Linked DNA regions of Struthio camelus. The protein of the gene in region 1 interacts with the protein of each later gene in a biochemical or structural test. Links are inferred from orthologs where the notes say so. Each region holds a gene or a part of one and is shown on either strand. Other genes may lie near its edges.

Region 1 (9,781 bases):
CAAGGGCTACAGTAAAGGAGCTGAAAACACCTTTTCCACTGACAAAATTTTTATTAAAATGAAACAGATAGAACTCCAAATACATATTGATTTGCTGAATAAGATAATGTCAATTTTCTGATTACAGCTATCTCCTTAAATGGATAGTCAAAGGCACCTTCTACAAAAGTTAATCATTTTTTAAGACAAAAGGAAACTGTTACCATACTGGGAGCTACACTTCTGCAAAGACCAAAGATGACAAATAATCAGTCTCCTTTGTAAATGGACTATATGCTCAATTTACACTCACTGCTCTGATAAGGAGACATTTTGACATAACCTCCATGCTGTATTTTCTTAGCTGTTCAGAAAATACCCTAACGTTTTCACACTGCTGAGACCTCAGTTTGGACTAACTCACTAACATACCCTAGCAGTTATACAGTATGTATTCTTAGCTGCATGTAAATTGCCAGAGAAAATACAAGGAGAAATAATAATGACAATTACAATTATAATAACAATTATAATAATTACAATTATAATAATTACAATTATAATAACAATAATAACTTTGAAAGCCCCACTCACTCACCTACCATGCCAAGGGCCCTTAAAAACACGGCCTTAGCCTCCCCTTAAACCTGGGGGGGGGGGCGGGAAAAAGAGATAAATAGGTTTGAGTATCTTGCACTGCTGTAGCATGACTCAAGAAACCTGCGAACCCTTACTTCTGGGGGCAGCTTTTAGTTACTTAGGGCTCCATGGAGCCTGAAGGTAAAGCCTAATTTCATAGACATCAGTGGGCATTTTACAGTTAAGTCCGTCCATGAAACAACTGTACAAAGGGAAGTGACCTCCAACCAAAGCTTTAATTTTGCACACCTACTTCCTCTGTTGTCCAAAGGGCCACAACACCGCGCACATACCCAGAGCGGGGATACTGAGGTTTCTGGACCTCTGCAACTATTTCTCCTGTAGCTCTCTGGGACAGACCTGGGAATAGCACCCTCTTTCTCATGAGCATCAGCCCTGTTCTGCCCATTAGATCTGACAGCCTCATACAGAGACAAAGTATATCTGGCTGTCATTTTTTTAGGACCAGGGTCCAGAGCTATTTCTTTAATAAAATAGTAAGCTCTTGTAGGAATGTTGTGCTCCTACCTGTTAATAATGTATAGTACAGCACAGAACATACAGAACAACAAGATGCCAAACTAAAACCACACTTCCATGCCTGCTTTTCTGGAGCATAGTTTTTTCCCTTAATATTCAAATCTTTCATCAAAATTTGTAACTGAAAATCAGGAAATAATAGTTTTAAATGTACAGTGATATCTGGAGTAGCTTAAGTGTTTTCTTGTAGTTTTGGAACATCTGGCTATACTTTCTAAGTACTGATTTTTTTCCCTTTAGCAACACTCACGTTGTCTGAGTCTTTCATTCTCATTATTTCCTTAATTCTCTCAAAGTGACATATAGATACAGAAGTAATTAAACTCCCCTTCGTAAACATTAGCTTTTCTCAGCATATAAAACAATGTTTTTATCTTCCTGGAGGGGAAACTAAAGAAGATTTTGATCCCTTTAAAACTAGCAGAAGTTTTGACATGAAGAACCTCCCTGTGTTACGGTAAAGTACAATCTGATTTGAACAGCATGAATGGTATTGAGATTATCACAAGTTTCAGGGGACTAATAGAAATACCAACTGCAACAATCAAGACTCCTCATGGACACCTGCTCAGGGACTTAATTTTGCTTTAATGGGCTATTACCAAGGCTTCTCTAACAAACTCCCTCTTCCCCCCCCCCCAAATCAATTCTGGATCAATACAGGCACACATGCCCTGTATAGAGCCTTCTGTTCTTGGGACGGGATTAAAAGATTCGTTAGTTTTATGATAGCTTGGGTAAAAGATGGAAATTAAAAAGAAAAAAAAAGAAAGAGAAGATGCACATGTCCCACACTGTTTAGATTTATTCTGCTTAACAAAGTCAGCATTTGCAAAGGTTTGACAGAAGGGACGCAACTCTTTATGGATTATCACAGTAATGACGGCTGTAAAGAAGCCGAAGGAACTTTGCTCAGTCTCTGTGGATGATCAGTTAAAAGTGTGCTCGAGTGACTGCTCCCAAGAAAATTCTCTGCAAATTTTAAGTGAAACTGAGGTAGATGAAAAACATGAGCAGGCAAACAATTTTTAAAAATAACTCTGTATTCTTTCAACAAGCAAGTAGAAAAACTGTAAACAGAGCATTAAATGTATCAGATGTCTGAATACTGGAATAACTCATTTAAAGCTCTGACCTAAGTACAGCAATTATCATTTAAAATCCTTTCGCATTATGAAATATATATTCCTTCACTGACTTCGCAATAGCAAGTCTCCATCTTCTTGAAGTTAATCCTGTGTAGCAGTTTTTGACCAAAATGACACATGGGAAAAGTCTATGAAGAGTTATAAATTTATTGATTAAAATCCAATAGTATAAAATTAGCCTAAAGAAGACTTTAGAATGCTACAAAATACAAAAAAAGCACATTATGCACAACTACATTTAGTCTACAATTTGATCATGTTCTCTACAGCTTCCTAGAGCAGGATTATTTTTCTGATAGTCCCTTTATTATGAATACTGCTCAAAGTACAAGATTAAGATACTTTCTACTGAACATACAGTTTTATTGCACCAGGTGCTAATGAGCGTTTCCTTCACAAGGGAAAATATTTCAGTTTTCTATGTTGTTAATATGATTAAACAGGCTACTTTTGACTACAAAGGCACTTTAAAAAAAGTAAATGGTGTCGTTCTCTGTCTAGCTAGTTAAATCAGATTCATTTTGTTTCTGAGTAACTGCATACAGGAAATTTGGTCTTAAGAGAAAAAGGATATTATATTGGTACAACAGACTGTGTATTTTTGTTCTTTATTCAAGTGACTTTAAGGGAATACACTTTTATGGAGAACACATACTCTACATGTGCCAGTTTGATTGTCTGGCTTCAGAACAAGTAACACTGAGAACATTTTCCAGTGGTGGTTAGTATTTTTTTGAGAAGTGATACCTGCTTTGCTTACTTGAAAGCAAAAGAAGAAATTCTGAAAACAAGCAGTGATCTAATCCTAAGGGAACAGATACCACTCTCTGATTATCTCTCACAAACATACTGATTAGATCAACTTTTTGGATGGAGAAGAGTCTTTACTGCAGAGCTATATTCTCGACTGTCCTATCTTTTTGGCTTTGCATAATCAGAAACGACACGGTTTTCATTTACAAGACAGCAACTCTATTAAATGTAATCATTTTCCCATACATACTTGCAGTTCTATTTTCAACATATTTTGCCTGAAACTGAGTTATTCAGTAAAGAGAATTCACATTTAGTGATAATGAGGACTCACACAGACTGTTTGTGTGGAAGCAGAAAACAGATTTAAGCTGAAGAATATTTACTGACGACATTTCAGAAGAGAAACTTTCTTATCTAGCTCACTGATGTTCAGTAAATGGACTTAATAGCCACAAAAAGCAGAAAACAAGCAATATATTTGCAAACGTCCTTTACAAATTAAGAAAAAGTGCTTGGAAATCCTCATCGTTCACAGAAAAGCTTACAATCACCTAGCAACCTATGTTACTGCTGCTTTCAATTTTGAACAGGCAGCCTTCACATTCAAAGATGTATCTGAGCCAAGTGATGCAACTGTAAGTTTAAAGCAAAACAAAAACAAAAACACAGATTTTTTTTGGTATTTAAATAAATTGCCCCTACCTTTCTTCTGAGAGTACGATGGCGACTGCACTTGAGAAAAAGTAGGTTTTTCTTCGGTGAAATATTCAGGTTGGTTGTACTGATTCAGGGCCATGTCCATGTCAGAGTACTCGCTTTTAAACACGTTTCCAGGGTAACTACAGGTATAAGGCTGATTCACCGCCCAGGCCTGTTCCATATATATGTTGTTACCGTGCAGGACCTGAGCATCACAACTGCTGTAACCCTGATTATCCTCGATATATGTGCAATAATCAGTGGACTGCATGTAGCAATTGCTCCCAGCAGCTGGGTGCACTTCATAGATTTCTTGCATACAGTAGTTCATTTTGTTACCCTATCTCGGCTCCTACTTTACGGGCGCACACACACACACACTCGCACACACACGCACACACACACAGGCATGCATACACATGGAACGGGAAAGGAGCAATGAATATACAACACCAACAAAGTCGACTGCAAAACAGCCCGTTTCACTTTGGAGCAGCACCTGATGTGCTAAAATCCTATTTATATTGGCATGGCTTGTGAACTCCCCTGCCAGTCAAACATATTGGGAAGCAGATTTATGACAGTCAAAGGTCTTAATCTGTGACTGTAAGTTAATTCCAAGGGAAGATGGCAGGCAGGCAGCAATGGCCACCAGACAAAGGAGCGGCGTCCCGACAACCCTCCTGTTCCACTGTTTGTCCGCAATAATCGTTTTATAAACCGTTTCTAGCCTTTTGCAATATGATTAGAAAATGATTATTAAGGCGAGGACACAGTTATGTCACTGTAGTTGTCAACTTAAGTGTGAAGCATTATGAAGACTGCTTAAGAACTCCCAGAGGGGATACGCTGAAAATCCTAAAATCAATAATCCTGTTTTTCAGCATTAAACCACAGAAAATCCAATAGCACTGTGTTGATGACCCAAACAGTAGTCTAGTTTTACAAAATTTAGCAACTTAATCTGTCATCAGCTTTATTGATTTTGTTTTACAGAATTACATGCATGAATCTCCCCAGCCTTCCACACATATACAATCCTCCCTACTGCCTCTTAATGCATTTACCGGAAAGCAGCTTTTTTAAAGTTCAGTGATTTGGGGAGATAATTTCTATTTAGTTCAACAGGTGGGAAACTTCAAAATGACTTGATTTAATCAGCAAAAAGGACACTGCTTAAATATTACCAGCAAACTAATTGTTTTGCTATTTTGTTTCATGATCTTTTATGTTTCAGTAACAAAGAACTTTTAAAAAAAGTATCCTTTGCATCAACAACCTGAGCACAGCCAGGAGGTTTTCTTGCTCAGTTTGGCTCTCGTATGAGCTATGTACATTTCAATGCCATTAAAATAAAATACTATATGATCTTATAACTGCTTTACACACTCCAAACATCAGTGTGGTTAATATATCATATTTGATCGCCCATTCTTTTTTATTTAAAAGGATTTTTTAATATTATAATAGCTGCCTTGCTTTTACTAGCTAAAATATGTTTTCTTTGCAGCACAGCATAAATAGGGTAAAACTCCTGTGAAATCAGTAACAAAATGGTATCTCTCTTTAATGTCTGTTCTTATTATTAGGAAGCAGAATTACTGATTTAATAATGAGGTCTTAATTTTGTTCTTTCACTCATTTTAAACAACACTCGAGATGACAGACTGCCAAAACTACCTGTATGTTGGCCCCTTTTCTTCTTGGCTTTTAAGTATACCTCTAGCAACCTAGCTGAACGTAAACTCCAATGGTCCTCAAAATTCTGTGAAACTCATAAGACTCAGCATTTAACATGCACATATTTCTCCCGAGCTGGTATTATCAAATGCTTCAGACTAATATAAAGAGCCCGTAAATTAGTGTTCTCTCTTTTTCTAACGCACAACCATAACTAACCTTTTTAAATAATGAGCACTGGCAATTAGCATCTAACATATAGGCTAAGAGATCACAGGGTAACTGCTTCTGAGGACTGGAAGTTAAATTTTACTCTTGGATTATTTTTATTTTGGTTTCCTAACTGTAAAAGAAGCATCTTTAAAACCAACTCTTACTACCTTGCCTCACCAAATAATAATGCATTTGGTAAGTCAAAATGATCTCCATCGAGACCAATTTTACTAAACTCAATGAAGTTACTTCCAGAATGAAGTTATTGCGGTAACACTCTTGCAATTTAAAGTAACAACTTACTTCATTAAGAGCAGTAAGTATTTACTGAAATCCCAGAAGTGAAACACAAATGAACCTTCATTCTCAGTGTTGTTTTTACCGAAGACCTAACTCAACAAAATAGCATTGTGAAATATATTGTGATAACGCACACATCGAAAATTAATTTTCATTTCAGTTCAAGTCTATGATCTAGATTTTCCAAACAGTGATTTTGTCTGAGATAAAAAAGCATGTCTTAGGCAAGATCTGATTTTTCAAGAATGGCTGCAGCGCTTCATAAAAATCATGCCCCTGTCTCAAGGTAAGTAAGTGCTCAGTTACTGAGAACCTTTATAAGTATGGTGATTTGCTTGTGCACTGCATTTTTTATCATCAGCTACACTTACTCATATATTCAGAGACAAAAAAGCCTATTTTCTTTTACTTTCCAGGAGAAAAAAAATCTTCTATTAAAAAACATCATAACAAACTGAAAACAAATGTCAGAAAGTATTAACTAAGATCTGCCAGAAATGCTTTTAGAAAGAGAGAAGTGCATTCTCTGTTTAAGATTTGTAATGAGTTCACAAATATTTTAAATTAATGTCACGCTTTTATCACAGTTTCCTGCTGTGAGAATAAGATCTGAACTGACATAGATTTCCTAAGAAACTTTGCAATGCTCGTTTACACAGAACCCCCCAAAACCTACCTGTTTATGTGACTGGTTGGTAATGCTAGTACATACAAATGTAATGTCGACACAATCGTAACCTGCCGAGCTTAATTCTCCATACTCCCCAGAAAGAAAACATTCTACAGGTAGGGTAAGTGGACTTTCCGTTTACCGCAGAACGATCTCCACCGCAGCTAACAGGAATTTATGTGCGAGCTTGCATACAGGCGAGGCTGTATTTCACAGGTTAGCCCAGCAGAACAGCCAGGTACTCTTACCAGAGGGTGATCTAGTCCCAGAAATTTGTCTTTCACTTAGCAGGTCACAATTGCCTAGCACATTGCAGTTTTTATTTTGTTTAGGACCCCTTTTTATTGAAGAATAAAAAGGAATAGATGACCTCGAGGCAAAATTGCTAGTTTGGTCTACGTCAGTCTCCAGGGTGACACCAGTGCTGGAGAGGCAACTGCGAGGAATGGGAGGACTCCAAATGCACCACGGTAGCTGTACCCTGGGGTCAATTTTTGAGAGGACTGACTCGGTAACTCGGTGACAAAGACATGACATCGCCCATTTGACGAAGAACATCCTCCAGACTAATGGAGCCCCGCGCCAGGGAAGAGGAAGAGAAATAAGCGGAGCCACGGAGAGCCAGGCTGCCGCGCAGCTCGGCGGCAGCCGCGTTGTCCTGGTGTCCGCGGGGGGCTGCCCTGCCCGCGTGGAGCCCGAGGCTCGCTGGGGACCGGCAGAATAGGCTGCTTTCCGAGCGAGAGCTTATAATGAGAACGGACCCGAACCTCGCAAAAGGCCACCTCTATCGGCCACAGCCCTTCCCTGCGCAGCACGGAGCCGCCTCAGAAAGTGCCCGACCGCCCTTCGACTGCCGGGTGGTTGACACCACCCAAAAAAGCTTTTGGGAACCAAGCTGGAAATTTTCACCAGGTCCTTTTCACCTTGTGGATTTGTTTTGCCAGATGAGGCAAATTTCCTAAGAATTTTCTCTCCTCTGGTTCTTCTTCCCACTTACTTGACTTAGTTTCGTTATCCAAAAACTAAAAAGAATTGAGGATGTACGTAGACAGAGCAGTCGCAGGCAGCATGGTGCCTGGCGGAGATGGTATCATGATACGGGACTGCATGTGAATTCTTTTCGGTTCTAAGATCAACTCCTCAAACATTGTTTGTTTTCTAATGCTATGTCAATAACACTTAGAAACGTGTCGTATGTACTACTTTTCTCCGAATTACTGCAATGGTATCAGGAAATTACATTACAAGAAACTGAGGAGAATGAGAAAGTAAAGTGGATGAGAGTCTTTTCCGGCAAAAAATGAATGATAAACACTGCCAGGCAATGAGGTTTCCTCACCTGGAACATCCAAGAGGTTTATAGCACTGCAGATTGTTGCTCCCTTGGAAACAAATCAGTTCCAAAAACACTGCAAAGATTTAGTATCATTATTAAAACTGAAATATTCCTGGAGTATTTTCAGTTGAACCTCTGAGGGTCCTCTTCCTGTATCACTTTGCATTAAATCATCTGGTAAAAGACAGTCAGATGGGGTCTTCACCTAAAGTCCAAAAGTGGACTAGAAAATAGTGCATACAATTGTTGTTTCAGTCTTGTATTCTGACTTGAATACTGGAGTCTTTCACTGCTTTCAGCACTGAAGCATCACATTCGGAATTTCAGTACTTCTCAAGTACCTGACTGTGCTAATACACGGAAATTAATCACTGGCAGAATAAAACTTCAGGTGTGGACAAACAGGCCAGTGATAAAACAGAAACTTTGATAGGGAGGCAGAAGAGGATCCAAAGGCTGCATCCCTCACTGTCTGAGGTCTCAGTTTATTGTTTTATAAAACCAGAAGGTATTTGCTAAACAGGAGTTCTGAGTGCCCCCCAAAGGTTTTGAAATATCCACCTCAGAGTACATCAGCAGTGAGTGCAACGAAGCCAGTGAAGCAGAACTGCAGTCAGGCCTTGACTGCTTGAAACCAGATTTCTGCAGGGAGACCGCTTTGTAACAGCACATACACCTCTTCGGGACTCGTGTTTTAAAAATCTCTGATTAAAACTTTTGATTGCAAACAATCAAACGCCCCACAAAGTTGCACTTCTCTTGTGACTTCGCCTGATCAAAAAAATAACAAAATTAACCCGCAGAAATTTTAAGACAAAGCAGTACTCCTATTTGGATGATCCCCTTGACACAATACCCCAAACAACCCAGGTCACTGACACACACAAAAGTAGCGTTATTCCACACAGTCCACCCCTGTTGTGTACATCTGCTACTTGTGTGACTGTGCAAGTGGCATTGTTACCCAGAGGAGTTATATTCTCCTGACTGTTTCTAAATTGTGCACCTCTGGTCTATGGTATTGGCTACGTCCATGTTGCAGGTAAGGCCCCTACACTATTTTTAAAAGGTGCTGCAATATCCATTCGGGGGAGGTATTAAAGAGCATTCAAATGATATAGGGCAGAGTGGAGTTCTCGAAGGACTAAATGGAAGGATTTTATGTTGATTGTGTTTATGCTTATACATACAGATGGAGAAAAATACAGTATTTAGTCAAAAACAGTTCTGCACGTTGGAACATGTAGCTGCAAGGATTAAACATACCTTTCTAAATTCTAGCAATTGCGTACACTCATATTGTCAGTTCCTAGTTTATAATAGGTATTTCTACATGTTACAAAATAGCTGCTTTTTTTTGTATTTATGGTTTTTCTCTTTGCATGCATTCCTGCTATGGGGAAAAACATTATTAGATCATTGATCTTCAAGAAGAAAGCAATTCTGCACTTTCAGGACTCATACCACATAATATGCAATGCATTCCAGACAGTCAGTATCTCTGGGCATCATAAAGACAACACACTGAACACTGTAACAGCTTTTGAGCAGAAGTATTAATGTGGCTTTTGCAGTACACATCATTTGTCAAACATAGGATCACCAAGCCCATTTGATATTATGAGTTACCAACTCCTGTCAGTGTATATATTTGCATTACCTTACTCATTTACTTTATGCCCTATGATCAGAACAGACTCAAAATGATCCTTCCAAAATAATCCAATGAGTCATGCAAAAACTTATTGTTTGCGGAATCTAGATACCAGCTTATCACATCAGTTCTGACCCTCATGGATAGCACAGTGATGTAGATTAAAC
Region 2 (9,891 bases), on another chromosome or scaffold:
CAGCAAAGACAGAGCTAGCACAACTTTCTTAAACAGGGTTTAATACGTGTCGCCAGTAGCATCAGCTTCATTTTCGACTAGCCGTACTTTCCAAAAGACTCTGAAGGTGGGACATGACAGACGCTGCAGTAATGTAATCTTGATGTTGCAGAGGCATAAATAATCACTGCAAGGTCAGGCTTGGAGAGAAATGACTGCAAAAACAGATAAGGCAGGCACCTTGGACGCTCAGGCCACGCGCGCATCTGGGAGTGGCTCGTCCCCAAAGGCCCTTGATAACTTTGGCCTGGTGGCACTCCGCATACACGCTATTACAACGAGGTGCATATATACAATAATTAACACACTCAAGTTGCACTTCCCCCTTATATTATACCAATTGTAGCAAATACTTTAGGCTGGAAGCTGCTGAATCAGGAAATGGATCAGAAGCTAACTAAAATGTCTTCTTAGGTATTGATTTCTGCTCTCTGTTTCATGTCGGCTTCCTAGCATCCATCCAACACAAGTCCGAAAGGGTAATGAGTTTCTGAACACACACTCTAATGGTGCACGCTGCATCAAAGCTTTCAGTAATTGCCTGGATGCTGCTTCCCAGCAGTACTAAACAACTTAAATATAATTAGCTGGAAGCCCTATGGGCTGCATTTCCCCACTGGAACACCTCTTACGCTAATCCATTTATCAGGCTGACAGACGACTGAATCACTGGTACTATGGACCCATTCTACCAATATTTCGCAAGTCAAACTTTGGGCTCGTTACTTATCCAGTATATTTTTGCAAAGGAAAATCTACATTATTTAGAGCGGGGAGAAGAAGAAACAAACACCACATTCATCTCTTCCCAGTACTGAACAATGTTCTTTGTTTGATTAGCCCACGAAGTGTAATGCTGGAGCTATCAGGCAGAAAATGCGTATGAGATGTACCTACTAGGGAACTGTATGATGCCAAAAACAACAAGGAAATGTGCAAACACTGGAAAAATTATTGAAAGAGTTCCAGGCAACCAAAAATTTTGGAAAGTTTGCACCAATTGCTAGTTTTAGGGGTATCCCTTCTGCAGATGGTCTGACTTAGCTCTCAAGCAGAAATTTCTGCATACTATTAATTTCCTGTATATCCTTATGAATGATAGATGACAAAAGAAATTTTAAAAAAGGTTTGGGCTATATGGAGATGGGCATCAGTTGAACAGCGCACTGCCACAGAACTATGCATTCTGCAAGCTGCTAAAGAATTCTCATGAAGCTACAAATAAATGTTCAAAATTTTATTTCTCCGGCAGAAGTTTCCAGTGGTGTAATGTAAGCTATTCTTTCATTTTCTCCCTGTGGCTTTTGTTTTCAGATAAATTCCAATAAACAGACCTCTGCAGGGGCTGAAGTCATTGGGACTGCAGGTGTCTTCCCAAATGCGTCCCACTGCTGAAATGAAGACACTGTAAAAATACTAAATTCTCATAAAATGCTATTACTCTTTTAAATAATGAAAAAAAATCTCTAGGATGTCATACACTTAAGTTTCTTCTATCCCAAGGTAAGGGACAGGAAATAATATGCGATAAAACTGGTAACGGCCTGTAACATACAGAGAGATATAGAAAAGGGGTTTTGAAAAGGTGCTCTCCTCTTAGGCCCATTTCACTGCAATCAATAATCCATATTCTGGCTTAGAATCATCAGGAACAGCTGCAGTATTAACACTGTTTTATTTGGTTATTTCCCCTGGATGTTGCAATACAATAAGAAATAACTTACTGTAGTATTTTTATAGGAGTCTAAGCAATCTACTTGTTTTAAAGCTGATGGTTATCACTCATGAATTCTCTTAAAAACAATACTACAAGGTAAAGTTAACCCATGCTCTATTTTTTTTTTCATTTATTTGTACAAGAAAAAGCTTTTTAAAAGAAAAAGCTCATAAAAGAAAATTTCCAGTACAACAGGGAGAGCGGGAAAGAAGTCTGTCTGTGTTTTGGATTTTGTTGCACTCACCAAGGGAGAACATGGATTCTAAATTCAGAGCTAAGCACTAGGATAAGCACACAAAAACTAGAAAGAAATTTTACATAAGTCCAGTTACCGTCAGCTGAATTCCTCAGGAAATGCTAACCTGCTAAGAACATGCAAAAAAACACCACTTCACTCTGAAACAACTAAAACATGGTAAAAAGTTCAGGTTTACATATCTTCCCATTCTGTCTTGTTCTATCCATCTACACACTCTCTCATCTTTTAACCTGAAAAGATGGATATCAGTACAAATTCAGTTCCAAAGAGTGACTACTTAAATATCTAACAATGGAGCTCATGACTGAAACACAGTTATTCAGGGATCAAAACCAAACTGATTTAGCTGTAAATTAAGAAGCAGAAAGATGAGAGACAGCTAGCGTTTCCCAGAATCATAGGCTGACCAGCAATCTGAGAAGGGGGTGAATGAATAGCAGCTACTTGGACATTACCAGACTTGATTTCTGAAAATACAAGCACAGGTGTTTCCACTGTCTGGCAAAATACCTAACAGGTTATTAAAAGCTAAGCTGTTGGAGAGCCGGAGAGTTCTTCATGTGAACCCAGGAGCAGCAATCTCAATTTCACGTGCACTCTCCTCCCACTCCTTCCCTCCGTCTTCAAACTGGAAAACTAATTCCAGGGACAGTGACTTTTGCATTAGCCAGCCAACTTCTCTATCATTCAAAGCTAGCCGCTTTCTTCTGAGCTTCATTTCTTCCAGTTAGTATATTTTACAAAAGAAGAGAACTGAGCAAGGTCTGCCCCAAACCATATGAACCCCCAAACTAGTCAGTCATACGTTCACATGAAACACAGTATTTCACACTCCTGTTTCCAAAGACTCCTTAAAAAGGCAGTGGTATTAAACAGCCTAAACAACAGATGTAACCTAAAAAACATTTTGAAGTATAAAGTGCTGGAAAACCTTCTTCGGGTCATTTTTAATAAAACAGAACCTGGTCATCAACTTAGTAAGGGAGATACTGTGTTTGCCAGGCAGGGAATGGGACACTACCTTCATTTAGATGCTTTAAGAAGAAGCTTGCAATATTGTCAAGGAAGTCGAATTTCCTGGTCGCTACTTCTAATTTGAAATGATTCTTTATTTCTTGAGGTAAATACAATCTCTTTAAAGTACCTCCAAAATTATTACATAAACAGGCTCTTCCTTTTATTTTAAGCCAGGGACAAATATACAGCAGCTTTATAGTTAAAGACTTGCACTAAATTCTTTTTTTTTCTTAACAGAGGCTGAAAAAAATGCTTGAGGAGAAAAAAGGAATCATCTAAGAATAAAACTTGTAACTGAAGTCATACTGCAAATATACGGTAGTTACTGTACACTCGGAGGGACATGGCAGGCTAAAAAGTTACATACTATAAAAACGTAGAGGGCATTTATAAGTGCCAATAAATGCCTCTTCCAGAAAGTATGTCAGAAACAACCCAATACACTGATCTGCCAACCGAATGTTCCTATGTAATGTCTATTTGAAAACTTACCTTTCATTGTCAGTAACTATCTTCAGCATTAGTAGATGCTGAATATTTGTGCAAGAAGATTTTTGTGCCCTCTTCGTTCCTGGGGTTTTTCATGACCTGACTGGACATGGCCCTGAGGAGCTGAGTCAGACCCCAGAGTTGGCCCTGCTTTGGACAGAAGGGTGGATTAGAGGTCTTCCGAGGTCCCTTCCTCACTAAATTATCCTACAATCTTACAGTGTTAATCTCTCTGTATTAGAACTATATGTGTCTGCTGTACTGCTTACATAGCAAATAAGGCGCTTAATAAGAAAAGGAATAGCACAAGCTTGCATATTGAATTCCGACAGATCTTAAAAATACCAAACAGGAGATGCTCTTTCTGATCATACAGAGTTCATGCTGCTTAAGCAGCTATAACAAAGCTTAAGATTTATGACTGAAGACACAGGAACCTTCTGTTATACTACAAATTAGCTTTCAATTTTACCTTTTTAGCTTTTTCAGAGCTATAGTAGTAAGAACTATTTATATTAAATGAGATGATTCTTACTACCTCTTAAACTATGTGATTTATAACCCTTCCCTCAATTAAAATGCATGGTATACACTAACAGGTTACACTGTGTAGCTATCAAAAATTCACCTGAGAACACTGGTTAGACAAGTACACTAAATTAAGTAAAAAGTTTATCTGCAGTAAATAGGGCTGTGAAAAACCTGAGCATTTTGAAATACGCAGACAAAAAAAACCCCATATATCACACAGACTTTGTGGTAAAGAGAACTGGTCTGGCAGCTTCTTGGTCCAGAGAACCCAATCCTTCGAGTTGGCTAGCAACTTAAATATTTCAGTGTATTTGAACACTTCGTTCACATTGAACATAACGTAAGAGTCTGCAGTACAAGTGAAATTCCAGAAAAAAACAGAATACTTTCAAAATTAGCACCTGCGTGGTACAGTAAATAACTTCTCTAGGTTTCAGTCCAGCTGATTTGTTAATCTGATTAATCTGATGGTTGATATGAGCTGTCTCATATCTTGTTACTAGATATGCCTAATAGGAGTAAACAGGGATACATACCTCTGCACTGACACCACGCTCACCACTCTTGACTAGTATACATGAGAACACTTTATTTGCATAGTGAGATTGAGATAAATCCTTTTAATGAATTTGACTAAAGTATTATCTGTTAATATATGTGACGTTCTTTGTATTAATGCAATTCTGATACCACAAACAGTACGACCTAGCCATCTTTGTTTTAATTTTCTCATGTATTTTAAGAGATGGAAAAAGAGATGAAATAAAATAAGAGATACTCAGGCTAATAAAGCTCATATATTTTTAATGACTCTCCAGTTTGTACTTTAGTGAAAGGACACACATAAAGAATAGTCAGGATCCTAGTACTAGCAGTAACTAGTTACCTAAATGATTTAGCCAATACATTTTTTATAATCCGTCTCATGCTATGTTCAGACATAGTTAAGTTTGTAAAGTATGTTCTAGAATCATAATGATAACTGTACACTAACTTTATATAATAAATTCTTCTAGCTCTGTTCAGCAAGTATTATGTCTGTTTTTTCAAATATGAAAGTAAGAAATTGAAGTATGTTTGAAAGCCATATAGATCAGGACAATAATCTGAATTACAACGCAGACTGCTTAAAGTCTTATCTACACGTACTGTGCTAACATAACATTGCACCTTCATGTAAATTTTAGAGCAGTCAGCTTTCAAGACTGCTTTTGTGCAGTCAGTATGTGATATTACTTTTAGTTAGTACTAAAATGTTATTTTTCCCAGGATCTGAGAAGTGTGACTACTGTCGCATTCAAAACAAAATGGAAGCAGCTATGTCAGTCTTTTAATCTTGGGAACTGAACTCTCTTTCTACAAATTGAGAAGAATATGAAAAGCGAGAACAACTATTTACACAGAAAGATACCTATGTTTACTGTGCTGTTTTAAGTGAAACAGAACCTTTCTATTTCATGATGGAACATGCCAAGGATATTCACACCACTTAACTTTGATTCCAGTTTAAGTATATGTATATGGATGCTGATGCCTAAAGCTGGGTTTTATGAATATTCAGTCTTCATTATAAATGAGTGGTTCCGTTCTAGTACGTTAACAGAAGAAGGACCTGATAGCAAAACATTCAATGGAGTAAAAAAAGAATTACACCGATGATATGAGCAACAAAAAAGGATCATTAAGAGCCCGTTTGCTTCTCAGTTTACAGATTTTGTTTGGCTTTGCAATTCAGTGTTTTAGTGAGGTGCAACATGTTACAGCCACTTTTTGTTCTAGTCTTTGAAATTATTTAGGAAAATAATGTTTTAGTACAGCTTTACTTCTCAACTTACAAGGCAGCAAAGACGACCAAACGTTTGACTTCTCCATTCTGCTGAGCTACGTGAACAATTCTCAACTGAGTGACACGAAGCATGGGCTGAGAGGCTGAGAGATTCTGCTTAGAAATTTCGGGGGACAGGCATCAAAAGTTAAATTTTATTATCAAGGTAGCAATAAGCCTAGCAGCTAAATTCCCCTGCAGTTTTTATCCTCTGTAGTTTGCAATTTCTGGCTGCAGTCATGCTACTTGTTCTGACTGCATCTTCACTGGTGTAAACTTATTCCCCTGCTTCTCGTAATCACTCTTCCCTTAACGTTGCTGCCGAACATCGCTGCCCCTCAGTATCTGTGGAATAACTGCTTGGATCAGAATGGTTCTGATTAAAAGAGTTCAGAGAGTTGGTGTTAAAAAGGGTTTAAACGAACCTAGATTACAGTGAATAACTCAGGTCAGGGAGTGCCTACGTGATCGATTAAATCTCAGGGGTGCAGTAAGGAACGGTGGGGGACGATAGCCTGTTCAGCCAATTCAGCTGCCGCCAGAACAGCATGTGGGAAACACGCAGAGAGACCTGTCCTCCTTCTCAGGTTTCCTTTCTTCCTCCCCCCGCCATGCCTAACACCCAGCATCCCTGAGTCCCTGATGCACACTTCCAAGCTTCCTCAAAACACTTAGCTGCCTACTAGTACCAGGGCTTAAACTCTTATAAAAGTCAAAGCACATCGATATTGTAGCTATATACATATGTGAAAAAAAACCCTCAGTAAACCAGCAACGAGTTTGAAATACAGTCATCTTGGTGTCCTCAGCTCACCTTGTTACTGCACCTCCAGTTATTGCAGCACATACGGCATGTAACATCTCCCACTGTTTGGAGACTCCCCCTAAAGGTGAGCCATATGTTTTGCAATACCTAGACACAGCAGGGGAAGAGAAGGAAATCTCTGCAGCCTTAAGGCAGAATTGCTTTGATTTCACTGCTTTGTGTCCTGTCTTTATTTTTCTTTTAATGAAAGATTTAGCATTTTAATTTATATCGTCTAAGCCTACAGAAAAAAAATACACATGCTGGGGTGTCTGGGGGGGTGGGGTGGTGTGTGTAATACCTAGGAAATCTCTTGTGTTATCTGTCTGTATAACATTACCTTCCACTAGACAAATATATTTTTAAACAGTCTGGAATCAAAACAACATTCTCAGCATTCAAGACGATCTGTCATCACTGCCCATTTGTTGCCCTCTAGGTTTCTCTCAGCTGGCAAATTTCCCATTTAAGGAATTATCAGATTCATCGCTTAGACACAGCAGCAAAATAAAATGAAAGGCTGGATTATTCTGGAGAACTCGTATTTTTCATTCAGTGTATAAAATTCAGTGCATGAAAACTGAACATAAGAGCAAATGGAAACAATCTCTCTCTGACTTCACATTTCTCCCTCACTACACTCTCTGCAAAATCTAATTCTGACGAAGATGCCGCAACATTTATATTACGTGTAGTCTTTATTTCTTTAAAAATGTTTAATGCCACATATTATGTTAACCTGTTCTGGAGACCTGAACGCTATGTTCACAGGCAATGTTTCTTGTTCTGCTGCAGCTCTAATAACGCTTCTGCTTCTGTATATTGCTGATTCTACTCTATTTTACATAAAGATTGACTAATTCCTATGTTGCCATTTCCTCACATCCTATTTTTTCACAGAGAAATAGCAAGAGAAGAGAAAGAAAATATATTAAAATGAATAAATTGCAAGTTTTCCATACCAAGAAGATTCAGGATTTACTTGGCTGATGGAGTAGCTTGAATGTCAGAAGCTGTGCCGCAAAGCCATGCTTGCCTAGGCCCCCCGGCTGCAGCACCCAGATTTCTGATAGGCACATAGCATGGCTCTTCATACTGCAATACACTAAATCTCTTCACAGCCCTTTCATATCAAACTGTGGCAAACTACTTTCTCCCTCTAGGTAGAAAGAAGAAACTGTGGGAAACTCTGGGGAAACGTCTCAACATCATTTCTCCTTACTGTGTAGCTAAAGCAGGTTTCATCTTGCTGCCACAGGAGAGTGAACTAATAAAAGCTCAAATTAAATTCAGGTTAGGGTTTCATGTGTACATGTCTGTAGAGTGTGTATGTGCATGCGCGTGCACCAAGTTAGGGACAAGATGAATATAAGCCTGAGAAATCTTACAGTGATTAACATGTAGCAAACCTGTTACTGAGCCAGAACAGACTTAAGGAGACTACTGCGCTCCAGCATTGATACTAATCCCCTATCTTATACTGCTCACCCTAGTAAAAACCTATTTCAGGGTGTTGTTATAACACCGTGATTAATCAATTTCCTTTTAAAGCCTCCTCTTCAAGCTTAAAAAGTCATGATTCACTTTAATATTCTCTATGGCTTCCCATATTTTTAAAGTGGTATGGATAAATTTATCAGTGGTTGCTAATGGCCACAATATGGGAAAATACCACATATGAAAGCCACTGTTCCATATGCATAGAATTGCGTTCCTTAAAACACACTGCAAATCCCAAGCAAAAAGGACTGCAAGTGACCAGTTCCACTCATTTGTTGTTAAACAGGCTAACATGAATATGCTCTTTGTGCAAAAGAAAGGAAGAACGGGCTTGTGAAGAAATGTTCCAAATTGAGAAAATAAAGTATACTATTTTATTTGCCACATTTTAAGGCTGGAAATTATTCCATATACTGTTTTGGGCGGAGGCCCTTCTGATTCACATTTTGGAAGATAAAAACTCATCTAAGATTTCATTCTATGAAAGAAGGACTACCAAAAAGTATGCTATGTTCAGAAATTTAAGCAGTGGTGTGTTCCAGTCCATTGCTATAGCTAAATAGATTCTCTGCTAGGTCCCAAGGCTCTCAATACTGTCTTATTTAATAGTCCAGGCTCGGGCATCAAGCACTATGTTTTGCCACTCTGGCCATAAAGTATTAATAAACAAAATAAAAAGAAACCAAACAGACTATTTTAGTAAGACTGAATCAATCATCCACAGCAATTACCAGAGATGTAGACTTACAACCACGTTCCAGGTAGCATACTATCTCATGAAAGATCCAGCCACCATGTGGGTAATAAATAATTTTGTGTCATTAGAAATGATAGCTCATTCTACAACCTGGAGTCACGTTCCAAAGAACAGTAAGATATATTGTAATATAATGCAAACCAATAAAAGAAGAGCAATGTGTAAAGGTATCTATCATAAAGTTATACTATTATGATTTTCTAGCCACATAAACCATGGTTGATCTCTGAGTGACTTCTATGCTGTGTGCATTGTAATATAAGCTCTGGAAAAACAAAACTTGTTCTGCAAAGGTCAAATGATCTTGTCTCTCCCTTACTTCTTCTTGAGATGCTCAGCTACTAACAATTACATAACTGAAGTGTGTTTTTAGATGGAAAATATACCTTGGTTCCAAAAGAGGCATTGGCGTGACTTTCCAGAAATATCATGTCAAAAATAAACCATCATAAAAATTGTATTGTATTGACTCTATGACTCTAAAAATGCACTCTAGACTGTCACTACCATTAAAGGTGATGAACATATTCTAATTCACTGGTGATTTTTCTGATGCAGACATCTCTCCACTGCTGCACTTCACTTCTTCCTTCCCAGGAAAATGAGGACCAAATATTCTCATCAGCTGGCACCAGACACCCATCGCGGGGCTAGTAAAGGGGTACTTCATTAGCAGTCTGCTGAGACATGCAAACATTCTGCAAAATTCTTCAAAGCAGAAGCATGCCATTAATTTTTTTGGTATTTATTACTTTCTATGAAAGATGAGTGACTCAATTTTGGGAATGGCTTTACAAGGCTCATACTTCGTCCCTGTCTAACGCTTCTTTGCTGCGTGACGTGCCTGCCTATTACGAGGCTGTGCTTATTCCAAAGAACAAATTAAGCAGTAAGACATGACAAGCAGTGCACTTGTAGGCAATTTCGTTACCACCTGAGGCATGCTACAAAG
Region 3 (10,212 bases), on another chromosome or scaffold:
TGTGTGTTGTGACAAGTTTTTTACCTGAAGTTGAATTTAACCACAACTGAACCAGTCTGGGCTGTCATACTGCACCGGTACTCCTCTACCAGTAAAGCCTCACTGAAGTTCATAAATGCAAATGTAACAAGATCAGGTATTCTTTTGATTACAAGTTCTCAAGTTTCAGTTTGACTGAAAACTCTACCTCTTGTTTATTGCATTTTCTTTCTTAGGCATGTCACAAAAGACTATGAAATTTCACTAAGGTCTATGAAATTCTAAATGTTTTAAAGTACGAAGAAAAATTTTAAGTGACCTCAAACAGCTTAAAAGTAATTCCTTTGAGAGTAGTGTACCTAATGTCAAGGAGAAAATTTCCCCAGTCAAAAAACAAATAAACAAATAAACACACTTCTTAAATGAATACTAAGATGCATGTATTGCTTCTGTTAAAATCAAGATTGTTCTGAGGTCCTCCTGACTGTATAAGAAACCTGCAGTATATTTTCTGTCTGTCCACGCTCTTGGCAGGATGAAATTACAAAAGTCTTTTTTATTGTCACTACTGCTATAAAGAACCACATAGTCAACCTGGTACTTTCGGGTAAACCTATTACGCACAGAGCTACATAGGAATTCATTCATGTGGGAATGGGAAGGGCATCCCAAAAAAACCCTTAGAAGGGACACACCCCCATGCAGCAACCAAAACATGAGATGTTATTTTTGTTCAGTATTTCTCTTAAATGGTCCTTATCCAAGAAGACCGGTAATGCTTTTGCCTCAGGAGGTTCAACACGTACTGCCGTAGTCCCGAGAATACAATTGCTGACTCCTTACTTTCTCTGAAAAAGTCAACAGAGACCCATCAGAATTACCATTTTGGGTCCTGTATCTCATCTCCCATGTGCTCTCTGCTCACTGGCTGGAAACCACTGTATTATACAACCTAAAATTTTCAATGTATCAGGAAGTTACAAGGCAGAATTAATTCTTCGCTTTTTCCTTGCATCACTCATCAAGATGGGAAGCTTGGGAGAATGTGCCTGCGCACACCTATGCAGAACACAGAAGCCTACATTTAATCCAATCTCTGCAAGTACTACCCAGCCACCATTATGAGCAATGGAATCTCATACCAGTTCAGCAGTCTTGGCATGTCATTTATTTAGTTAGTTTTTGAAAGAGTACCTTTAAAATTGTATTAACAAGAGAGAACTTACATAGCAGGCATCTGTCAGTGGAAGTAGTCTAGATCATTCCCTTTCAGACACTTTCCAAGACTACAAACTTAAAATTCAGACCCCCCCACACGCAAATCAATACAGGCAACTTTCTGTCCCAAACTATCAGTTTACTTAAAGACAAATGCATTTAGACAAGGCATCATTCTTCTATCTTTTCAATTTTTGTACAAATTCAACCCAAACCCCTATATAGGGCTATGCTTTGAGACTACTCATTCAAGCTTGTGAAGACGACAAAAGTCCTCTCAGTTCCAAAAAGGTGACAGTTCTTAAATGTTGTAGAGTCCACTAAGCACCTTCTTTCTTACCAGAGTTCTCAGACCAGTTACACTTTTTCCCTCCTATTAATTAGTCAGGAGACTAGACAATTAAGAGTTTCATGAGCTTGACACACCATCTAGAACCAAACCTTAGCATTCAGCTATCGATTTGTACAAACTAAGGAACATATCATGTGGCTCAAATGTTCAATTATTTAAAATATGTAGTTTCTTGCAAAAGAACACTAGTGATCTATTCTGGTGGTGACAGAAGAGTAGGTAACACTGGTAGAGTTAAACATCAAATAAAAGACAAGGTGACCATTCTCTTCGTAAAGCAAAGTTGGTAATCTAGCCAACAGATGGAAAATATCACACCTGGATTTGGTGATGCATCCTCTCTGCCTCAAGTTTGTGTTTGTCTAGAATTATTTTTTCTTTCCATTTCCTCCCCTTAACTTTTCCCATTCTCCATATTGTTTACCCCAATTTCCTCTCTAGCCCAACAAAAACGAGTTTATGCTTGAACACAATTTGTGCAATGCAAGACATTTTCAAGGTTAAGTGATGTTGTTCAGCGGTCTACGTATTAACAGACCTGTACTGTTTACCAGTACCATTTACTATACACTACAGGGTTTGTATTTCTCAATAGGGACCACATGATTTTGAAACAGACACCAACATCACGCCTTCTGCCTTTCAGAGGTATGCTAACGATATATACAACTTCATTATTCCCAATGCAATCAAACTGTTACAGCCATTTTAACTCCTTTATATCTTCAGTAGCAAATCTTTTGCCATTGTAAATCTTATAAATTCAGTGTGTCTATGTAACTTAACTGTGACTACAATTATCATCTAAAAGCAATCAACATAGTATTAGAAAATAATAAAATATACTGTAAAGCTGTTTAACAATTCAGTTATCAGTTTAAAGTATTCAACATCTGCAAGGGTATGCAATATCTGACGGTATTGTACTTAAGAAGACCAAAGAGCAATATTAAGATTGCTTATCAGAATTTAGTTCTATACCCCAATATTTTCAAGTATTCAAGCAACTGAAAAATTAAGACACGAATACTTAGTTTATGAATGTCTGGTTTTCCCAGGTTTCCCACACTAAAAAAAAAAAAAAAAAAAAAAAAGGATGCAGCCTTTTCTCTGCTAGAAGAGTGTAAAATAACAGCATCAGTTGGAAGCCTTTTGTAAACAACTCCTCCCTGCAAGTTCTACAGAAGAATAAGTCTTGATGGCCTTTTTTGAAAGATACAAAATTTACGTTCTTTGTGGTTGCTTTCTCATATGTGAAATACTGAAAGATACTTTTGTTTTATATCTGTAAAGAACTAGCCAGAAAGGCTGCAATGAAAAGTAATTGTGAAATAAGTATCAATATAAGAGGTACTGTCTTTCCTATAACTACAATTCAGATTAGCTTATTCACAGTTCAGTAAAGGTAGTAAGCCCAAACGTGCATGCATCTGGAAGGTGAGGGGTTATGAAGTGTTAAAGACAAAGCTCATAAACTAGAATTTGCAGCCAGCTTTCAAAACCAGAACAAGCAGAGTGACAGGAGAGCTGCCACTTCCCGTTTCCCCTGTTCCCTGAAGACATCAGAAGAAATCGGAACCCTCCGTTTTCTGAGATGTTCCAAAAAGCAAGTGAAATTCAGAAAAATGCAGAAGTCAAACCACGGGAATAAGATAAAAATACCTTTTTTATTACTATTTTAAAGAGATAAGGAAGAATGCAAACAAAAGTTTGCAATCAAAGAAACGTCAGTGCATCTTCACTGACATCCCCAAATGATGTCAGTGCCTGCATGAGCTCAGGGCACGGAAGTTAAAATAAAAGACCATGTCCTCAGTTAAAAAAATAAAGTTCCTGATAGCACTCTGACTGCTTTCTAGTATTAGCAAGAAAGACTTTCCTCCTCCAAGAAATAAAAGACTCTGGCACAGCACAGCAGAATCAGCCAGTTACCTCCTTTACCTTGGAGGGATCAGTCAGTCACAGGCCACAGCCAAAGGCAGACTATTACTTTTAGGTTTACACAGGTTACAGCAGCACAACAGCTGCAGGAAGAAGCCTTTGAGATCTAAGTGCAGGGAGAAACACGGCTACTTTTAAGGAATCCCACCTCCAGGAGCCACCTCCTGACGTGTGGCCGGTCCACCTAAGAGGCTGGAGGCCACGGACGCCGGCAGCGGGCTGACACGGCGGTCCGGACGTGACCGCGGGCCCGGCGCACAGCCTGCTCCGGCGAGGGCTCCCCGCCAGCACCGGGGAAGCAAGGCAGCTCCGCGCACCCGCACGCCACGGAGGCGGGCAGGGCCCCGGGCCGCGCTCCCCGCGCGGACGCTGCTCTCCAGACGAGCCGGCTGGGCAGCCCCGCTGGGGCACCCCGGAGCCTCCCGAGGCCGGGGCCTGCGCGTCCCCCCAGGCGCCCGGCACGGCCGCAGGCTGGGCTCGCCCGCACGCCACGGGGCGCCCCGGGCGCAGACCCCGCCGCGCGGGGGAGGCCGCCGCCGCCGCCGCCGCCGGGCCCGGCCCAGGCGCCGCGCCGCACCGCCGGCCCGCGCCCTCCCCGCGACGGGCTCGGCCTGCTCCCCGGGCCGCCGCCACTACCGGCCCTCTGACATTGCCGGGGCGCCGCTTCCGCTCCGCCGGCCTCTGTCAGCCCCGCGGCCGCGGCCTCGCGCTCCCGCCCGGCCCCGCCGGGGGCTGAGGGAGCCCCCCCCCGCGCCGCGCCGCGCCGCGCCGCGCCGCGCCGCGCCGGCCTCACCTGCCGCTGGTGCCGCTGGTGGCGGCCGCGGGGCCGCCGCCGTGCCCGCTCCGCGAGCGCGCGCGGGAGGGCGGGGGCCGCCTCGGCGAGCGGGGGCGCGCGGCCCCGCGACGGCAGCGGGCGAGGAACGGCCCGGGGGGGGGGGGGGGGCGGCCGAGCGAGGGGAGGGGGCGGGAGGTCGCCGTCGGCCCTGCCGAGCGCCCGGGACACCCACCCCGCAGGCCGGCCGCGGCTCCGCCTCCGCCACCGCCTCCGCGCGGGAACACGTGACCGGCCCCGCCCCGCGCCGCCAGCGCGCGCGTGCGTTGGAGCGGGCCGTGCGCGCGCCCGCGCCGCGGCGGGAGTGGGCGGGGCGCTCCGCGAGGCAGGCGCGCGTCGTCCGCCTGCCGAGGGCCTGCGGGCCGAGGGGGCGCGCACCCCTCCGCCCCGAGAGCCTGGGGGACGTGCCGGGCCCCCGCGAGGGGGATGCTGGTTTCCTCACCCGCAAGAGCCTGGGGGACGTGGTGGGCTCTTGCGAAGGGGGACGCTCGTCCTCTCACACTCGAGAGCCTGTGGGATATGCTGGGCCCCCTGCTAGGGGGACACTCTTCCCCTCACCGCTTGGGAGCTGGCGGGATATGCTCGACCCCCTGCAAAGGGGACACTCATCCTCTCCTCTCTGAGGCCTGGGGGGACATGCTGGGCCCTCACAAAAGGGACGCTCATCCTCTCCCCCTCCAGAGCCTTGGGGACATGCCAGGCCCCTGTGAGGGGGATGCTGGTCCCCTCACCCCCAAGAACCTGGGAGATGTGTTGCTCCCCCCCCCCCCATGCAGGGGTCGCTCTTCCCCTCACCCCTTGAGAGCCTGGGGGACATGCTGGGCCCCCTGCAAAGGGGACACTCATCCTCTCACCCCTCTGAGAGGCTGTGGAGCCCCCATAGTGGGGCCCCCACAGAGGGGGAGGGCAGCCTTTACCTAGCACCTTATTGTGTGTACCCTCCCTCACTTGCCTGCCAGCCCCATGTCCCCAGCACAGACATGCAAAGGGGAGAGTGTTCCACATTTAGAGATGGGGACACTCCCGCTCCATGCACGTGTTCATCTCCACACTGCTGCTCAGGGTGGGGTGGGTTTGTGCCCTTCCTTTCTCTATACACAGGGAGTTTCCTCTCTCACTGTCCTGTATTGTATACACGCCCTTCCAAAGGGAAAGCCTGATTCCCCATGGAGAAATTGTGGACACTTTTCCCTCTACTGAATGTGAAGGGCTGTACGCCTTGTTGAAAAGAGAGACAACTGAATGTCCTCAGGAGTCCGTCCCTGATCTCCCTTAGGGAGACCTTGATTCCTACCCCTTGGAGAGAGCATCTTGGAAAAAGACCATCCTCTCCTTCTCTGAGGACGCCTCATCTTTAAAAGATCCCCGGAGAAAAGCCCAATTCCCACACTCCACTGAGACACTGGGGAATGACCTACCAAGCATAAACATCCTAGGGACACCCTCTCACACATTAGCACACTGAGCGGGATGCTCTCACACAGAGTCCCTTTCTGGGAGACCCTTGCCTCCTCATGCCTTTACGGACTGGTGAGTCACAGAATCACAGAATCACAGAACGGTTGAGGTTGGAAGAGACCTCTGGAGATCATCTAGTCCAACCTCCCTGCTCAAGCAGGGCCATCTAGAGCATATTGCCCAGGATCGTGTCCAGGCGGGTTTTGAATATCTCCAGGGAAGGAGACTCCACTACCTCTCTGGGCAACCTGGGCCAGTGCTCTGTCACCCTCCCAGTCAAGAAGTTTCTCCTCATGTTTAGATGCAACTGCCTGTGCATGCAGATGTTCTTGGGGAAGACCGAGCCTCTTCCACTTAGGGGTCAAGACAATCCCCTCCTAACATGGACCCAGCCTAGACCCTACTCTGCTGAAGCTCTAGGGATTCCTCCTTGTTTGGACAGCTGTGGGGAAGAACATTCCTTTCTGCAGACTGGGAAGGGGTCAGAGATATCCCTCCCCAACATGTATGAAGACAAAAATCCCCCCTACAGGTAAGGTGGCAAGGAGAGTCTCAGCAGAGATCACGGCAGAGAAGTGGGCAAAAAGTTATTTCCCTTTCTCTTTGAAGAGAGTCTATCTCTTCCTCTGGCCACACATGCAGAGCTTCTTCTCTAGGTGTTCCCAAGGGGAGAAACTTTCTGAGCTTGGAGCATGGGAAGCCTCCTCCCTAACTACTGAAAGAAACATCCAACAGTTCTGCATTGCAGCACATGAACGTAGATCGCTGGCGTATCAGGTTAAGCCATGAAACCTAAATTAAAAGCCATTTTTCTCACTAGCGAGAGAAACTGGTGGACAGCATGACTCCTGTTAGATAGCCCTAAATACTGTAGCTCTTAGCCCAGTGCAACTTTTTGCAAGTGAAAGCGATGCGTCCTTCACAAGGTGAAAGGGCAGTGGGAACATGTATGCAGATGTGTTTGACGATGCGGGCTTTCAATAAAGCCTTTCCACATTTGGAGAGATCCCTTGCATCACCATTCAGATGACTGATACTTCACTTGTGATAACTTTGGAGGCTGTGGGCTTTGTATCCAATTCTGTAAATTAAGAGAGACATGGCGCTACTGGAGAGAGTCCAGCGGAGGGCTACAAAGATGATGAGGGGACCGGAGCATCTCTCCTCTGAAGAAAGACTGCGAGAGCTGGGCCTGTTCAGCCTGGACAAGGCAAGACTGAGAGGCGATCTCATCAACCGTGTACAAGTATCTGAAGGGGGAGTGTCAAGAGGATGAGGCCAGCCTCTTCTCCGTGGTGCCCAGCAACAGGACAAGAGGCAGCGGGCACAAACTGAAACAGAGGAAGTTCCATCTGAACCTGAGGAAAAACTTCTTGACTGTGAGGGTGACTGAGCATTGGAACAGGTTGCCCAGAGAGGTAGTGGAGTCTCCTTCCCTGGAGATATTCAAAACTCGCCTGGACACGATCCTGGGCAATATGCTCTAGAGGTCCCTGCTTGAGCAGGGAGGTTGGACTAGGTGATCTCCAGAGGTCCCTTCCAACCTAAACCATTCTGTGATTCTGTGATTCTGTGAAATTAGTAAAAGGTATTTCCTGGATGAAGCTATAAAGAAAAATCAATACCTTTCCTAAAAATTAGCAGGAAACAAAGTTTGAATACAGATAGTACCTTTCATATGAAGATTTCAGACTTTATAAATATCAAGAACTTATATCTTAGTCTACTACTGGGGAGATGGGGAAGAAAGCAGAGAGAGAACTGAAAGATTCAAATACAGCAAAGGCCACTACAGTGAATTTTTTTAAAAGTCCATTTATCTGATTAATGAACAGGACCACAGTCTTGCAGTCCTCTTGCATGTGGGCAGATGTTTACTTCCTAAAAAGACACAATAACACAGAAGGGCTTTACAACAGAGATTTACTCACACCGAACAGCTTGCAAGACATGGAACCGTCCCAGGAATTTGCTCTTTATCCTACAAACCTTTATTAATATGAAAAATGCTAAAATAATATCGAAAGACAGTGATACTGCAGAAATGTCTGGTTTTCTTCCTGCCAGTCACTGCTTTAATCAGAAAGGTATGAGCCAGTGGTGGTAAAGCAAAGAAAGACATGGCAACTATTATTTAAGGCTGATAAAATAATCAAAGGTCTAAAGAGAATATTTTGGGGAAAAAGTAAAGACCTTGATCCTGCAAAAATATGTATGATTAACATTAGTAACTTGAGCACTGACTTCAAAAGGGGATAGTGTTGTCCTGGGAATCTGACTTACTCTGCTCATATCTTTTGAGACAGGTTGAAAACATGAGGAAGCTGATAAAACTGCAAGCTGAAAGACTTCTTTAGTATCTGAGAATTACCTTTCTTCCACGCTTCTCTTCATACCTGCAAGGGGTGCTTCTCAACCCGGATGCATTTAACTTCCTCCTTGTAAACAGCCTAATCTTCCTGAAAAGGCTAATACATTTCACCAACTCTTGCACAGAGTTAGATCACTTAAAAAATCTCATGCTTCCCATAAAACACTGCTATCTTTGTTGTAATTACAAACTTAACGCAAAGTTTTCCTTCAACTTTTTTTTATTTGCTTGTTTCTGTATATATTATCTACATTGATGCAGGGCACATCTTGTACACTGTAGCAAACAATAAAAAGTAGAACAATTATTTTTCAGACTGAGTTTTCAGTCTGAAAACTGAAAGTTTCTGAGGCACAATATTAATATATTTCACTAAGTTCTGCTCTAGTGATCTAGATGCTATAGCTTTCTGATCTGGACTTAAGAAGCTCTATGTAGATAACCTTCCTGTGTCTAATCACACATGGAGGTTGTGAAAAAGCTCTTCCTTCATTTGCAGCTTGGTGTCTCATATATCCATTTTGGACTTTGTAATATGCTTCTCCTGATTGCTTTTTCTTATGCTTCTGCTTGCTGTTGTAAATGGCCAAATAGACACAAACTCGGCATGATTATAATTAATCCCCATTCTATCAAAGAGGTGTAAATCAGCTTTGCCAAGAGTGTAAGAAACTAAGGGAAGGATAGAGCATATATTCAGCTGACTCAGACCTGAAGGGACATCAAGGTGAAAGGACAGGTCTGAGTGAGAAAATCCTGATGAGAGAGTACTGTGGTGAGGCATCTCTGTCCGACGCTGGTGGCTAGAGGAACCAAAAGAGGGTTTTACCCTCCAGTATATTGCAGCTAGTGAAAGACCTTTATCTCATTGGCTGCTAATGCATGGAGCAGGAGACCAAAAGGCAGATGCCTGCTGGTGGCAAGAAGGGAATAATGTGATGTAGAGGACTGTGGTGGGAGGAAAGGGGACTTTCTCCCATTGAACTTGGCAGTCTGAGGAAGCTGTGGGAGGAGCTATACAGGATACTTCAAACCCCACTGCCTTGGCTTCCTGATGCCTTGTATGCACAAGTGGACTCACCTCTGCAGTGATGTGAGCTGTAGGCAGATCTCCAGAAAACATCACAGCTGAGCTGAGTTTATTATACAGTTGGATCCACACTGTGTAGCTTAAATATGTTCAGATCCAGCCTGGCCTCTGTGTACCACAACTGGGACAGGAAATATTTCAGGACAGATGTGGCCAGAACAGAACAGAGAAATGCAGAACAGAACAGAGGAATGTATTTGATATCAAGGCAATCAAGGTTATACTTGCTATACTTGAGTATAGCAATTCAGGTTATACTTCCAATGGATTTTTAAATGACAGTATTTTCAAAGAAAAGATACTGTGCAGAAAAAAGTGACATTTTCATAAGTAGACTCATGACCAGTTTTAGATTTTCCAAAGTTAAATACTGCATAATCAGTTGAACAAAATAATATCTCCTCTAATATTAGTGATTTAATTACTTTTGTTGCCAGTCTGTAACTATCGCTCTGGGATTTTGTTAACCTGAGTGCAGCAAGGAAGAGAAAGATGAGCAGTTGGCTACAAACCTGACAGATATGGTGGTGGATGCACAGGAATTATTATCTCCCTCTCCACTTCTGGGAGATGGAGTTCTGAGAGCCCCAGGGTGGGAAGTCTGTGCTATCCTGGTGGGCTGACTGCTTCAAATTAGCGTAAAGGATTACAGATGTCAAGTAGCTATTGTCATATACAGTATTTTCTCCCTCAAGGTAGGCTCATGTCAATGAGGACAATCTGCACCTAAAAATGTTCTGACCACTGGAGGCCCTTCATTGGCAGTGTTTCAAGTTTTGAGTTCTCCTACTGTATGATCTCTTCTGACCTTCATACAAACATGGTTCATTTTTATATACTACCCTACCGCATCTGAAAACTGGCTCTGCCTCTCGGAGCTCTTCTTTCTCTGGCCTGCATTCAGAGGTCCACCACTGAAGTATGAAAGATCTTTTCAGAACCGCTGCAAGGAAAATTTCTATGCACTACCG

The links.
Region 2: the proteins of THRB (region 1) and TBL1X form a complex in vitro, tested with the Homo sapiens proteins (2 studies listed by BioGRID). The link is inferred for Struthio camelus from reciprocal best matches to the Homo sapiens genes THRB and TBL1X.
Region 3: the proteins of THRB (region 1) and NCOA6 form a complex in vitro, tested with the Homo sapiens proteins (2 studies listed by BioGRID). The link is inferred for Struthio camelus from reciprocal best matches to the Homo sapiens genes THRB and NCOA6.

What each region holds. Positions count from the first base shown.
Region 1 is NC_090943.1:44,271,441-44,281,221, forward strand, and holds the start of THRB (thyroid hormone receptor beta), read right to left. Parts: upstream 4,108-9,781; 5' UTR 4,093-4,107; coding exon 3,765-4,092; intron 1-3,764.
Region 2 is NC_090942.1:142,898,690-142,908,580, forward strand, and holds the start of TBL1X (F-box-like/WD repeat-containing protein TBL1X), read right to left. Parts: upstream 3,663-9,891; 5' UTR 3,532-3,662; coding exon 3,525-3,531; intron 1-3,524. UniProt on the Homo sapiens protein: F-box-like protein involved in the recruitment of the ubiquitin/19S proteasome complex to nuclear receptor-regulated transcription units. Plays an essential role in transcription activation mediated by nuclear receptors.
Region 3 is NC_090959.1:622,548-632,759, reverse strand, and holds the start of NCOA6 (nuclear receptor coactivator 6), read right to left. Parts: upstream 4,383-10,212; 5' UTR 4,284-4,382; intron 1-4,283. UniProt on the Homo sapiens protein: Nuclear receptor coactivator that directly binds nuclear receptors and stimulates the transcriptional activities in a hormone-dependent fashion. Coactivates expression in an agonist- and AF2-dependent manner.